Drosophila melanogaster: one gene and its partner. The protein of the gene in region 1 interacts with the protein of each later gene in a pairwise test. Each region holds a gene or a part of one and is shown on either strand. Other genes may lie near its edges.

Region 1 (8,500 bases):
CAAACCCTCTTCATCTACGACGATCCTGGCGAATTGGTGGTAGAGGGTGAGGCACGCACCTCTGTGACCGATAGCAATCAGCAATTTATCTAGATCTGCGAAGTCGTTCCTCAGATCCGTTAGTCCAGCCTTTGGAAGATGTTCATTATGACGAAAGCTTTGTATTTTTTAGAGACTTTTACGTACGTCATATACGGTATCTTCGAGTGAAAGTACGGATCGCGTATCGAACTTGGGAAGCTTGACTTCTACATCAGTTTCATTCTTGGAGGCCTCGAGTTTCTCAAGGAGGCGATGTAGTCCCAGGTTCTTCAATTGGTAGAGCACCAGGTTAACTCCCTGGGATGACTTCGGCAGTAAGACGATCATTACTAGCTCATGTTCCCCAAAAGGTAGCTCCAGGACATCCGCTTGCAGACCCTTTACATTATTGACGTAGGCATACTTCCCCGTTTGCACCATCATCTCCACCTTACCTGCCGGCGAGCCGCCGTCGTTGTAAAACTGTTCCACTTTCGTCTGGGACTTATCGAATGGATACTGGAGTCATGATATCAGATATATTAAATACAATACAAGCGAGGATGAATCTGGCTCTGGGTCTTACCTTCCATTTGGCCTTAAAGTAGCTAACAGTAATCCCCAGCACAGTTACTGTACTATTGAACGAACGACGGCTATAAGAACTGAAGATTTTCGCATGAGAGGCTTTGTCGATATCGTCGTTGATTATTATACTCGCCCCCTGGTCGAAGTCCACACCCCTTGGCCGACCCTCTCGAAGAACCACATTTCCTTCTCCTACTCCTTCTAGGACTACACTGTTGTACCCTTTCACGAGTTCTAAATCTCCTACGTCGTCGTAGTAAGCGTAACGCAGCGAAAACAGTTTTGTGTTTTCCGAATTTAAACTAGAATTTAAAGAAAAAGACATTGAAAATTCTAATAGATGTAGTTTCTGAGTAATGTGGTACTTACTAGTGATAAGCTCGGACATCCTCGTACCACCTGCGCAGTGTTGGATAATCGACATAGATCCCCAGGACATCGCGCAGCTCATTGACGGTATACCCTTCTGCTCCCTCGTAGAACATGATCATGAGCACCATGCCAAAAAGCCCCAGAAATCCGAGCTTCATATTGTCAACAAAATTTACTTGGCTAGACCGATAAGAAATATTTCAGCTGAAGCAAAAATATCATTTACTTTTCTTACCTCTTTGTGCACCCGAAGACTACTCAAAACTGTTTTTTTATTTACAAAAAACTATATTTATATGATTTACTTTCGTTAATTTGTGGAGTTCAATATTCCAAGCCATGTATACTTTATTTTTATGTTCCCGTTTTTTTGCACGTGCCTTGCATTTTTTATATCAGTTACTCGTAGATTTTGTCATGAGTATGTAAAATAAAGTAAAAAAAGTAAAGTAAAAAAATGTTTCAGTAAAGAGTTTTGTTAGTAAAAACTTCCAAAAAACGGTCCTTCTGGCGGCACAAGCACGTTTAATAGCTGCAGCTTATGTTTCCTTATCTTCGTATTGCTTTACTCCTTCGTATACCTTCCGTATTTTGCGATCTGGAGAATAGTAGTGGCCAGGTCACGCTATTAACGTTTTAGCTCGAAATAAAAGACATTGCTAATCGACAAGGAATTGAATCAAACAGATATTTTAATTTTGGGAATACGGACTCCAGCTCTACTCTTCTCCCACTCTATCGACCACAAGTCGGTCAAATCTGGCAAAATTTCTGAAAGAGAACGATTTTTTTGGATTTTTTTAGTTTCCTTATCCATAATATCCAGTGACATGGCGAAGGAACACCAAAAGTGCCCGAAGTTGTTCAGACCATTCAACTAATTTGCAGCTGCTAATTTTACAGTGTTCATTACAGCAGTTTTTCAGCTGTACTACGCGTTTTATTCGATATTTTCAAAGATTTTCAAAGCCGCAAGAGGGCGCTGATGTAGAAAGCTTGGCATCAGTAATACCAAGATCGTCGCGTAAATTAATATTATTTATATTCTTTAATAAGAATACGTTAACAACTTTTACATGTGACGAAAATATAGCGGTACAGTGAGACTTCCCCATTGTGCTGCTTACTTGACGTATCCTGACAGATTTTAGTTCCTGGCCGTGACGTTAGAGGAATCTTTTGGGCTGCCACAGTAGTACAGAAGTGGTACATGAGGGAGTTGCAAGGATCCGTAATAAAATTCCCCCTTTTGTCTTAACGTAACGTATTTATTGTGGTATGTGAGTAAAGTGTGAGTCGGTGGACTTTTAGGCCGCCTTGGGATTCCGCACTTGTCCGGCGAAGAGGAGAAGTCCGGTTGCCTTCTCTACGATCATGTACTGGAAGGGCCGGTTGAGCAGGAACTTGGGCGGTGTGGCCTTGTTGGCCAGCGCTGCCTCCGTGACGGCTCCCGCCGTGGTTCCCTGTTCGTCCACAATGATCTTGGTTGAGTGGACGACCAGCTTGGCAAACAAGCCGGAAGACATTCGGTCCAGGTTGGCTGTATTCTCGTCGAACAGATCGCGAATGCCCATCTAGAATTAGAAGTTATTTACAAATGTATTTCCAGATTGGATTTAGAAGTTCTGTCACCTGGATGAGGACTCCCTTAAGAGTGAAATCTGTGGCAGTCACAAACTTGGGCATCATGACCTCCACTTCGTTGTCCTCGGAGGCCCTGTTCCTGAATGCCGCCAGTCGCTGGAGGATGGGCCTCAATCCCAAGGCCTTCAGATTATTGGCTACGTCGTTTAGCTTGAATCCGCGCTTGGGCAGCACCACGATCATCGCCAGACGATCCTGGGTGCCGTAGGGCAGCTCCAGCACATAGCCATCCAAACCCTCTACGTTTGAGACGTAGGCGAAGTTCGCTTCCTGCACCATCATGGGAATCTTTCCAATGACTTCGCCGCTCTCGCTGAAAAAGGGTTCCTCTCTTGTCAGCGTTTTGTTGAAGGGAAACTGCAAGCGAAAACGATATATCGAAGGATTTGCAAGTGGACAAGTTCACTTCCCACCTTCCATTGGCCCTTGAAGTACAGAGACGAGAGCAGAAACATCTTCGCTCCATATACATCCTGTGGCAGAATGGTATAAGGAATCAGACCGCGGGTCGTGCGATTTGTGTCCTCGTTGATCTGGATCACCGAATCCGGGCTATAGAAGTCCACTTCCATCGGCTGGACATTGTAGTTTTGAATAGCATCGCGGTAGTTGTTCTTGATGGGATACCCCTTGCCGGTGTATATGGCCTGCAGGGTGGCTACTTCGATGGTGGAAGTGGTGATGCTTAGAAGAGGGAAGGGGGTCACCGCGATCCATAAATATGCAATCCTATAAACTCACTTCAGAAATGAGCTCCAAACCTTGTAGGCGCCCCGAAGCTTTTCGTCCTCGACATTGATCCGCAGGCTTTTTTTCAACTGGTTGCGGGTCTCTCCCTCGGATCCCTCGTAGAGAAGCACCAGGAGTGACCAGACGGAAAAGGGCGATATCATGAAATCCTTGTTGGCCTTCTCCACTTCAACGGATATGCGCTGCAGGAGATCGAGGGCGAAGTCCTGGACCCCCTGCGAAATGCTGACCAGGACATCCGTGTCGAAGTTGCTTCTCATGGACTGGATATGGCTGACGCCACTTTGGAAAGCCGTGGGAGCTGTGAATGCGGTAAGGGGATTGCCCACTGAAAGCTGGAGGGGCGCTTGGTTGTTCTGAGGATCCGCCGAGCACAGGAAGATGGCTCCCAGGAGTAGTGGAATCCATAGCATCAGGCAATCTGGATTAAGATGTGCATTAGAACGTCATTTCATTAAGGATCATGATGTTAAAAGCCGCACTAAAATTATTGTATTATTTTACACCAACATCATTTTAAAATGCGTTAAAGATGGATAATTTTATAAATTTCGAGTTAAATAATCATTTTACGGTAACTGTTTTCCATCGGAATATAATTTTATTATTCATTTCAGAATGTAAGTTTAAACCATATACATATGCAGTTAGCCAATTGTCCTTGAACTCCGTATGAGTTAAACCAACAACTCGATTTTGAAAAACTGCCTGAAAATCCGGCATAGCTATTTCCGGTCTAATCAAATCGAATGAAATTCAAAGGCACTCGCGTGAGTACTATGTACATATAGTATTCCCAGATGCGTAAAAATAAGCATTTTCCAATTGATAGCGATGATCCATTGACGACCTCATGTGTTTGTACGTAATACAAAATGTATATATGTATGTACATAATATGTGTTTGCTGTGCACACACGAGTACTTGTAAATTTTAAATCTCTTTATTGATTGCCTCTAAAACAACATCCCCGCCTCTGGGAAATATTCCATAATTAATTGACCACGAAGCTTACCTGCGATTTTACCCATTTTTTGTGGCTGCGATCAAGAATTGGCTCAAGCCTCGCTTATCAGGCCTTCAGGCCGGGCTTTTAATATTATTTATAATTGGGCCTTCAGGCAGGGCTTTTAAAATTTTTATAATAATTGCGCACACAAATGAATCACACTTTTGCTTAACCATGTGGGTGTGCATCAATTATTGAGAGGCTTTTAAACCTTTTATTGATGTATTTTGGGGTTTTTCGATGTTGACAAAGCGACGTTCATCTATATGTCTCTATACACTGTTGTCGGTCGGTGTTATTCGAAAACCGGAATGCACTGAGGGGAATTCCACATATATTATGTATACAAATACACGCTCGCAAGGAGACCATACGTACAGGTGGGTGGGGTGTTCGCGTATGCGGTTGCCGCTTATATAATTCTATATATTTATTTCAATTTGTGAACCCAGCTACTGGTGGTTTTCGGTTTTGCCAAGATTTTGATGCCAGATCGAACCCACGTCCACACAACTCCCCACAAACAATGTCAACCTAACGCACGAGCATCAGCTGAGTGACTGAGTGACTGAGAGACTGCTCCATCGACCATTCAGCACCGTACTGATATGGTCATCCCATCCCACCGCCACCGCCATCGTCCCACAGCCGGGTCCAAATCAGTTCAGACTCGGATTCAGATGCGAGAGCCGCAGCGAGAGAACGCGGTATTGATATTGGCAGACCTTTGTCTGCCGCTCTTGACAATGAAGCCTCATTCGCGAAATGGAAATCAGGTGGAATCACTACTATGAGTTGCAGCTAATCCGATGGTGAAACTGGTTGAAATGCCGGGTTAACTCCAGTAACTCACCTTTAGATCACATCTACATCAACTGTGCCTGAATCCAAGATATTTTAAAAGGTAACTACATGTATTCAAATGTATATGCAATATTGTAAGCTCGTGGATGGATGGTTAAGATGACATCAAATATGAGCTGTAGAAGACATATGCAGGTAGCTCTCAACTGTGTTTTATAATCATACAAATGAATGTTTTCAATACCAGTAAGTTTACAAGTGCAATAAACAACAAACTTCAAGGTAAAAAACATTTTTTTTTCCCAAGTGACAGGTGCAAACTAATGATATACTAGAAAGACAATGCTTATGGATGGACTGGAATATATGCTAGGCACCATTTTAGGAAACATCGATGGATACGAAGAGAGGATGACAGGATTAATCCAAGCGTTAACTTTATTAAAGTATTTGAATTGGAAATATCCGTGGTAACGCTTGCATAGAGGCATTACCAGGATCTTTGCAGTATTAATAATTAAATGTGTTGGGTCAGGTTTCAGTGGTGTTGTGTGTTTCCTGGAGATCTTCATTCAATAAATTCAATAATTGATTTATTTATTCTTGCTTCGGCCTCGACGACCGCGTAATCTTCGTCGCTCCGTCGTAATATTATTTATTGGATTATAATTCGCTCGTACATGTTGATCTACTAAACATCGTTAAAATTTTGCGAGATGGAATTTTCTATAAATGTGACCCTCAAGTATTTATTAGAATTCCGTGTACTTTTTGGATATTTATCGGGGTAATCGGTAATGTTTATGTGGACATATATTTTATTTGTAGGTTGTGTATATGCGTACAATCTAAACTTTAGGTTTAATTTTATTTCAGTGCACTAAATGGAATTATAATTGGTTTGAAATTCATTTTCGCTACCAGGGACTCTTTAGTTAATCTCAAAATTATCTAACACATTACACACATAGAATGAAGTTCTCAATTTATTATAGTAGTGGATACAGATTTCTATAGGGTACTTTACGCATCCAAATGGAACATCAGCTAACCCACTGATTGATTGGCTACTTACACAAATAACAAGAGTAACGCAAAAACAGACAAACATAAGTAACACCTCTAATCACTCCACATTGGAAATAATAAAGTTTTTCTTTTGAATAGCACGTGGTAGCGCAATTTGAGCCTCGGCATCTGCTGCCTTCTTCATTCGTTGCATAAACGTTAAATTAAACTCTAGAATACGGGAATATAGACTATTCCATAGGTTTAATTCACGCGTACAAGCTGGCCGTCGTTTGGGTGCTTTCAGGTTAAGCAATGCAACACGTTTAATAATTTTCTTTTAGTTATATATGTATAGGTAGATTAATATCCGAACCGAATAAAGCATTTAATAAATGTGTACGCGATTTTATCCGAAAATTTAATTGATTTCGTTTATCGCAGATCGGGATCCTCGTCCGCAGCCTTCTTGATCCGCAGCAAGATGGTGGTGTACCACTGATCCAACCGGGAGATGCTGTCGTAGTCCTTGACGGCCTCTGTGAATCCCTCGATGTTCTGTTCCTCTAGATTCTCGCACAACACCTGTAATTCGAAAAGCGTCTTAAAGTAAATATCTGCGAAAACCAAAGACGACACACACACACCAAAGATAAAACTTAAGCAAACTGATACCCACCTTGATGAGCTTGAACTCCCTGGAGTCCTGGAATGCTGGGTACTGCTGCGCATACTTTTCGATGGCATGCTGGGCGTTCAGGAGGTCCACGCTGAGATGGCATAGAGCGGCCCTGAAGAAGTACTCCTTGGCACTGTACTTGAGCAGAGAGCTCTCCAGCGAGGAGGCGGCCACCTGCTCGTATATGGATATTGCTTTCTCGTAATCCTCCAGTTGGGCGGCGTACTGGGCCACCTTCAACATGCACTTGTTGGCCGAACTGACCGACTCTTCACCCTTGAAGTAATCAGCCGCCTGCTCATAGTGCTGAATAGACTTGGCCTGAAAGGGAAATGGTCCATTAATATGTAATTAGCATGGAGGCGCACACGGGAACCCACCAGATTATTGGGATCACTTTCGTACATCTCGGCGATGCTTTGGTGATGTTTGGCAGCCATCGTAAAGCGGCCCATATCCGTGTAGATGTCGATGGACTTCATCAGGCAGTTGACGGCGCTCTCCACGTCCACCTTCTTGTAGCAGTTGGAAGCGTCTACGTAGCAGGTTCCGGCATCGTGACGACTTCCAGCCCGCGCGTGTAGAGTTGCCGCCTCGCAGAAGCACTCCCCAGCCTTTGTCCAGTTTTTGGACATCTTAAACATGTTGCCCGCCCGCTGGTAGCACTCGATGGCGTCCTCCACCTTGTTGGACCCTCTGGAATAGTAGATATCGATAAGTAATAAGCCTTAATGTAATCCAAGGGATCAGAAAAGAGCATTAACTTTTTACTAATGATAATATTTTTATATTATCATTTATATATGCATATACGAAGGTGGTTTTGAAAAGCCTATTGTTTAAACTTGGATTTGTTTCTGGATGCTGTGCAAATATACAATTTTTTGTAAAATACCTTAAAAATGTAGATTTTTAAAAACAACTAAGTTTTTCAGCGAACTGAGGAAGTTTCCAAGTACGAATTACAGTTCGAATGGGTAAAACAAAAAATGTATTTCAGCTTACATATATAATTTCTTTGTTTTTTATTTTACACGATTGAACTTTTGTGCACTATGATTCATCGAAACCTGTACGAATGGCATAGTGTACATATATTGTGTACTACGGATATTTTTTAACGACATTTTGCACACTTTTTGTTCTTCATATCTGAAACTTATCTCTGTAAGTCGCACTTTTGCGCTATTTTCTTCTCTTTCTGGGTGGAGGCGTAGAGTCCACAACTGCGTATACGTATTATGGTGAGTGGGTATATACATAAAAACAAAGTAGTAAGCATAGTGAATTGGTATCCAAGTGCTATTTGGAATAGGGCTCAGTACCTTGTGGGGTTGTGGAGATGCTAGGCTAGACCAGACACAGCTCCATTTCCCCACTCCCACAGAAATTGCGAAACTTCTTTGATTTGATACGCACCCGAACAGCGATCCCAGAAAGCCCTTCTGCTGGGTCAACTTCTTCTCCGCCTCGGCCATCAGCTGGAGCGCCTTCTGTTCGTTGTCACCCATGTCGAGGATTTATGTCCGCCTCGGCACTAATTGCATCTAAGTTTAAGACTTGTTCGGCTTTTCAGCGAGTGTGTGTACGTATTGGGATCTTTTTTCGAGAAAATAAAATCAAT
Region 2 (6,243 bases), on another chromosome or scaffold:
AGCGCGGATCTGTCTGTCGGGTGGGGTGCTAATAGATTATGCCGCAACGATTAGAGAGGCAATAAATACCACCTGGCCGGGATCCCATGCGTGTTTGGTTCGCGGGCACATATTCGGACTGCGATGACGACAGGTCCTCCTTGTGTCCTCCGCTGTCCTGGTGTTGACAATCTAAACGGTTCGGCCAAAAGGGTAATGGGCCTGGCCAAGGGTCACATTGGGGCACAGTTCGTCGGGGATGTACTCCAGATCACAAACAGGGATAGTTGGCCTATTCACAATGGTAATACTTAAATCAGTTTCGGAAGCATTTCCCCTATAAACACCTGCGACATTCCAACCCCTGAGAATAATTAGCCTGGTTAAGTGTCAAAAGGATGGCAGACCCCGCGACATGTGTTCCCAACATAATGATGATTATGACCACCCGTACTCAACTAACTACCCCGAAACTTGGATTTGTAGGAATTTTACTAGACGATTACAATTTGGAAGAAGTGTGGAGAGTGTGTGTGGCGCGTTACTCTGCTGATCTGCAAGGAAATGAACTCAATAAACGAAATGGTTAACACAACAAAAAGTGAAATCATTTAGTAGTTGGCTCCGCGCTGGATGCAGGGTCCGCTGGAGATGGATCCCGCCTCCAGGCTCGGACAGTTGACCTTCTGCAGCTCGGCAATGCGCTGCCATGTCATGTTGAAGTGGCGCGCGGAACGGGCATTGGAGAGTTTGGCAATGGGTCCCAGGGTGCGGTATCCATTGGTAATGAAGCGTATGAATCCCTTGGCCGTTAGGTCCAGCAGAGCGGTCTTCACCTGCGACTCCAGATCGCCACAGGCAAAGGGTCTATTTAGATGATTAGCATTACCATTACCATTAAGTATATTACTCGATCTGTCTTACTCCTTTTCCAGCATCTCCAGAATGTGCTCCTCGTGGATACCATTGCTGTACTTGGGATGATCCTGGAAGATGCGCACCATGTCCAAAATATATAGCGGCAAATTGATGTGGTAGCTGTTGAAAGGAAGCCGCAAGGTGGTGGGCTCACATTCCCTGATCGATCCTTCGTCACACATTTCGTTGCTTATAAAAATACGATTTCCTTGTTCGATGAATACTTGTTAGATGAATACTATTCCGAGAGACAGGCTAAGCGAAGCCTATGCTTTGACTGTAGGATGGGGGCAGGGCCCACTTGGTCATGCCCCAGACCCCCGGGTGCTAATGTCATCCAATTAAAGGTGTCATTAACGGTTTGTCCACCGCGAAGTCCACGAGGTTTGCTCTTCAATTACTGACCAAACAAACAACGAAGCAATAACGTGTTCTACTGTCTAGATTACCCGGTAATTTGTCTAACGCATTAATAGCCTATGTCCAAAACGATCCTCCCAATGCATTAGCAATGGGTCCCCGGGGTGGGTAAAAAAAAATCGAACTCAGTCCGTAGAGTAGAAGTTTGGTGGTTTGGTAATGCCAACCAATTCAAACCGATTCCAAAACGTACTGCTTTCTATATGTGTGCATTTCGAATCCATCTCGCTCGACCCTTTGATGGATATTAGACTGCCTCCAATTCTCCAGACATGTCACTCCGGCACGCAATCCATTATTTCCGGGTTCGGCTCTCAGTTGGGCCAAAACACCATAAACGAAACATCGGTGGCATGACAGTCAAAGGGTTAACTATGTATGGCCCAAACTTTTGCCAACAGATAATAAATTAGCGCATACATTATGAAACGCCATAAGGATGCGACTTCCGGTTGCCGGAGACGGCAAGGACTCCGTGACCCAAACTGCCAATTTACCACCCCGGCAAACAAACAGGTGACACTTTCTCAAACCGAAACGAAACGGAACGGGTTAAAGACGACACACGGAGTTCATTTACATGTCGATGGTTGTTGGATATGCATACGGTGGTCTTGGATGTCGTGAGTGGCATTGTCGGAAGGCAAGTAAAATTTTACGATTTTGAAGAATCATGCTTGATCAAAATAAAGTTGGTAACAACTTTTTGATGTCTTAATAATAGCGGATTAGGCATATTGCAACTTTCTGACGCTGCAGTTTTTGGAGCTCAGCTAAAAAGGAGCAGAAGCTATTCCTCTTAGGACTATTGAAATCGATTGGTACACGCTGGAAAAATCCTTTAAGTCTCAAAAAACCTCGGAAATAAAAAGTTCACATAGAGCAATTGAAGATATATTATGCCTAGAATATCTGATAAAATGATTTGGAGTGATAGGAATCTACAAGAACTATCAGTTTAAGGATCAAAAAAAGTATATCTATTGTATAATGGTTCAAATAAGATGGCTTCATTTTAATGTAATGACTAAAAATTGCATATTCATGATTTACATTTTACATTACCCCATGTTTTGCTATATAGTAAGATATCCTAAAGGATAACTTTCAGTGAGTGCAAGTAGGCTTCCACCACGCCTCTTTCAGACTATTACCGCTGTTATCGCTGTTATATTCGTCCACAAAATGCCGGTCGATAGCCAAGGGTCACTCTCATTGGTCAGCGCATGGACAATGGGTAAGCCTTACTATCTCCGCCCCAACACATAACAGTTGGTCAACTCCAAGGGCCAAGAAGTGATCGGCGAGCGGGGAGAGGTGGACTGGACTGGGCTGGGGGCATGTAATCTGGCTAACCAGTTATATGAAGTCCTTGTAACCGGGCAGCACAAATAAATGCCATGCGGCCCCGGCCAAGTGTCATGTATTTGACGAATAATTACCGTCAACATTGCGTGATTGGTTGAATCAGCCGGCGATGGAGGGTTGTGGCTGGCTTAGAATTAGCCCCAAAGCGGGTGTATGTGTGTGTGTGTGTGTGTACGTGGGGGAGTTTGTGTGACAAGAACCTATAATTACCACGGCAGGCAGGTGGTCGCCTCGCCAGTAGCTAGCTTCTTAGCCAGGAGCTGGATTCAGATATAGCCCGGCCGTCGGCGCGAACGGAAGTCACCGATATAGGATGCACTCGCCCGCCCAGTCGCCCATTTTGGATGTCACCGAGACCGTATCGATGCACTCCGAACTGGATGCGGAACTGGAGTCCAAGAACAATCCGTCCTACTCCATTTCCATTCCCCAGAATCTTCGGCTAACCGGTCTGGGCTTTCCCGGCATGATCGGTGCCAAGAGATCGTCGGAAACTCTACCCGCCTTCGAGTATATCGCACCACCAAGTCACGCTCTCCAGGCACTGGAATTTCCGCTGATGGAGCTCAATCGTGTGGGCGTAATTGGAGGCGGTATGTTTCCGGGTTTTGTGCACCGTCGCGTCCGCGGTGAAAAGCGACCCATTCCGGAGGCTCAAAAGGATGCCAAGTACTTTGAGCGGCGCAAGCGAAACAACGAGGCGGCCAAGAGGTCCAGAGATGCGCGGAAAATCCGCGAGGATAGGATAGCATTCCGAGCAGCGCTGCTGGAGCAGGAGAACTCCATTCTGCGGGCGCAGGTCCTGGCGCTGCGGGATGAACTGCAAACGGTGCGCCAGCTCCTCGGAGCCACAACAGCCGGCGGCATGTTGTCCATGGCCAGGCAGGTGTGAACCACTCTGCGGGATCAGATGGAAAAGTGTACATATCAATGAGGGAAGCTAGTGAGATTATTTAGTTTGATGTTAATAAATGTTTAAAATAAATACTAAGGATATTCTAATAATATATGTATGCATATGCAGGTGTCCCTTAAAAAAATATGTTATTCAGATATATAAATATTGGCCCATCTATATAGAGTATTTTGCTAGTGCTAGTACTATAGTTCTATAAAGTCATATATATATCATTTATATATCACAAATTGTGCAATAGAAACCATTAAAATTGATTAAAAGTGAGTAGGACTAGTTCGAGTTTATTTCATTTTAAAAAATGATTTCAACAAACGCATACAAATAATTAGAAAATATTTAACAAGCTAGTAGTCCAGAGTGCGCGACTGCACCTTTCCAGTCGAGTCCAGGATGAGCAGAACCTGTTCCTGTCCACAACTTCGAGCACCGGCAATGTCCGTCACCTTGAGGCGTGTGTCCATGAGCTCCTCCACGGGTAACTCTCTGTCGCGATAGAAATCGTAGTGACGCACAGTGCCATTGGTGAGGGCGGAAAGCTGCCAGCCGTCGCTGGAGAGGATCAGGGCCTGGACGAGATGCTGGCGCAGACCGCTGCCACTTAGGAGCAGCTGCTGGTCAAAGACCCTCATTTCGTAGGAACGCCTGGGTCGCTCAATCAGCTCCAGAGCTGTGTTGGGTCGGGCATCGTACGTGGGATTGTCATCCATCTGCTGGTCAAATGATCTACGCTCGTTGAGTATGATGTTTTGAATGGCACACGATTTGCCCGTCTCGGGATCGGGCTCATCCGTGGCCGGCGGAAGTCCTGTTTTGGGTCTCTGCTGATTCCTCTGGCGCTGCCTCTGTCGCTGATTGCAGTTGAGTATCATCACAGATCCATTGGACAGACCCACGGCCACATAGTTCTCATTGGAGAGCACACACAACGAGGTGGGAAACAGGAAACGACTTTCGTTCACGGCGATCCTCGCGAAGCGTTCCGTCTTCAAACTACGCGTGCAGCAGAGCACAAAGTTTCGGTTGGTGCACACATAGATGAGCTCACTGCCCGTATCGATGCTGGTGAAGCGCAGGCCCTGCAATCCCTGTCCCTGGAGTGCCGTGGTCAGCGTTTGCGTGTCATTCAGCTCACGCAGCACATCATCGCTGTAGATGTTGCCCTGGAACAGGGACTTGGTCTTCTCGTACGCACTCTGATGGCTCTTCAGGAGGCGTCGCTCCAGATAGCTCCTCAGATCACAGCTGCCACTCTGCAGTAGCTTCACACGCGCCCACGGCGAACTGAACTCGTTGCTGTTGGTGGACGAGGCGCCCTCCACCAGGGTCCACATGGTCAGCAGGCCGGAGTCATTCAGCGAGGCGTACTGTCAAAGGATTGCATATATAATTAATTATATGTATTCATATAGATCTTTACATAGAATTTATAAATGAATACTACAATAAAACCTACCTGAACTTCCTTGTACGTCGTCTGCAAACCACTAGTCGCAGCTACTCCTCCAGCATTCAAGTGTGATCTAAAGCTGCGCACATCCACCACAGCGCCCAGATCCATGGCATTTACCTCCTTGTCCTGTTGCTCCGGCATGGGAACCACCGATTGTGTGGCTGCAAAATGGGTTAGGTGGCCATCCAACTTGGAGCAGTAGCTGTGCGTCTCGCGCAAATCCCACATAGCCACACTACCATCTCTCAGTCCGGCCACCACGATATCCTGGGCCTGCGCAGATAGTGCCACACGGCTGACTTCCGCCCAGGTGGAGAGCAGGCGCAACGGCTGGCTGGGATTGGCCAGTGACCACACCATCAGAAGGCTGGCAAAGTCCTCCTTATATACATTGCTGTCCGCAGGACACTCGTGCACGGTGACCACCAGTTGTCCATTTCCGGCACTTCCAAAGATTCGACGCACAGGCAGTGCGTTCAGCAGTCCCGTCTGAAGTGGTACATTTCGAGGACTATTCCCCTGGCCGTGGGCCGTGGTTTTGCCCTCCAAAACCAGTCCCATAAGTCTGCCGGCCCTGTGAAGAAACGAATTCAGTCGCTCCAGATCCGTGCTCTTGGCCAATCTCTTTTGCTGCAGTTGCTGGGAGCGTGCCTGCTCCAGGCGATGCAGTTGCTCCAATCGAGAAATGCTAGCTTCGTATTCATCTGCAGGTTGCTTGCTCCATGTTTCATCCAACTCCGCATCGACACTGCAGCTGAGAACGAATTGCCCACCATAGTGGGGTGGATGTTGGGTCCAGCTGCTACGACTGTGCACCTCCAGCGTCTGGCACTCGCCGTCCATGTGTGGTGACTGCGTCTGTGTGGCCACTTGACTGGCATTCAGCTTCCCATAGCTCTGCATGAATCCCTCGTAGCTGAGGGGCTTCATCTCGAACAGGTGGTAGTTCAGTTGATCGAAACGCAATTTGGCCATTAGCTCTTCGCCGCGACGACTGATCACGGGATGGGAAACGAATCCCGAGTAGCCACCATAGTACACGTTAGCCTCTCCACTCCGGGGCTTCTCCACGCCAGTGGTGCTAATGCCCGAGTCCAGTTGCTCTGAGTTGGCCATCGAGTTGGTATCAAAGCTATCATACTGATTCTGCGTGGACAGACTGCTCAAGGGATTCCTGCGCAAATGCATG

The links. The genes of interacting proteins can lie anywhere in the genome.
Region 2: the proteins of Spn77Ba (region 1) and CG7786 interact in a two-hybrid assay, tested with the Drosophila melanogaster proteins (one large-scale study listed by BioGRID).

Annotation. Positions count from the first base shown.
Region 1 is NT_037436.4:20,313,680-20,322,179, reverse strand, and holds Spn77Ba (serpin 77Ba), read right to left. Parts: upstream 4,991-8,500; 5' UTR 4,408-4,990; coding exon 4,392-4,407; intron 3,797-4,391; coding exon 3,367-3,796; intron 3,310-3,366; coding exon 3,039-3,309; intron 2,983-3,038; coding exon 2,614-2,982; intron 2,556-2,613; coding exon 2,289-2,555; 3' UTR 2,064-2,288; downstream 1-2,063. Other genes in the region: Spn77Bb (serpin 77Bb), read right to left, coding at 1-129, 187-540, 608-911, 979-1,139; alphaSnap (alpha soluble NSF attachment protein), read right to left, coding at 6,633-6,782, 6,877-7,197, 7,257-7,572, 8,296-8,387.
Region 2 is NT_033778.4:16,231,692-16,237,934, reverse strand, and holds CG7786 (uncharacterized protein), read left to right. Parts: upstream 1-2,998; coding exon 2,999-3,577; downstream 3,578-6,243. Other genes in the region: CG3687 (uncharacterized protein), read right to left, coding at 591-846, 904-1,079; CG15701 (uncharacterized protein), read right to left, coding at 3,949-4,968, 5,058-6,243.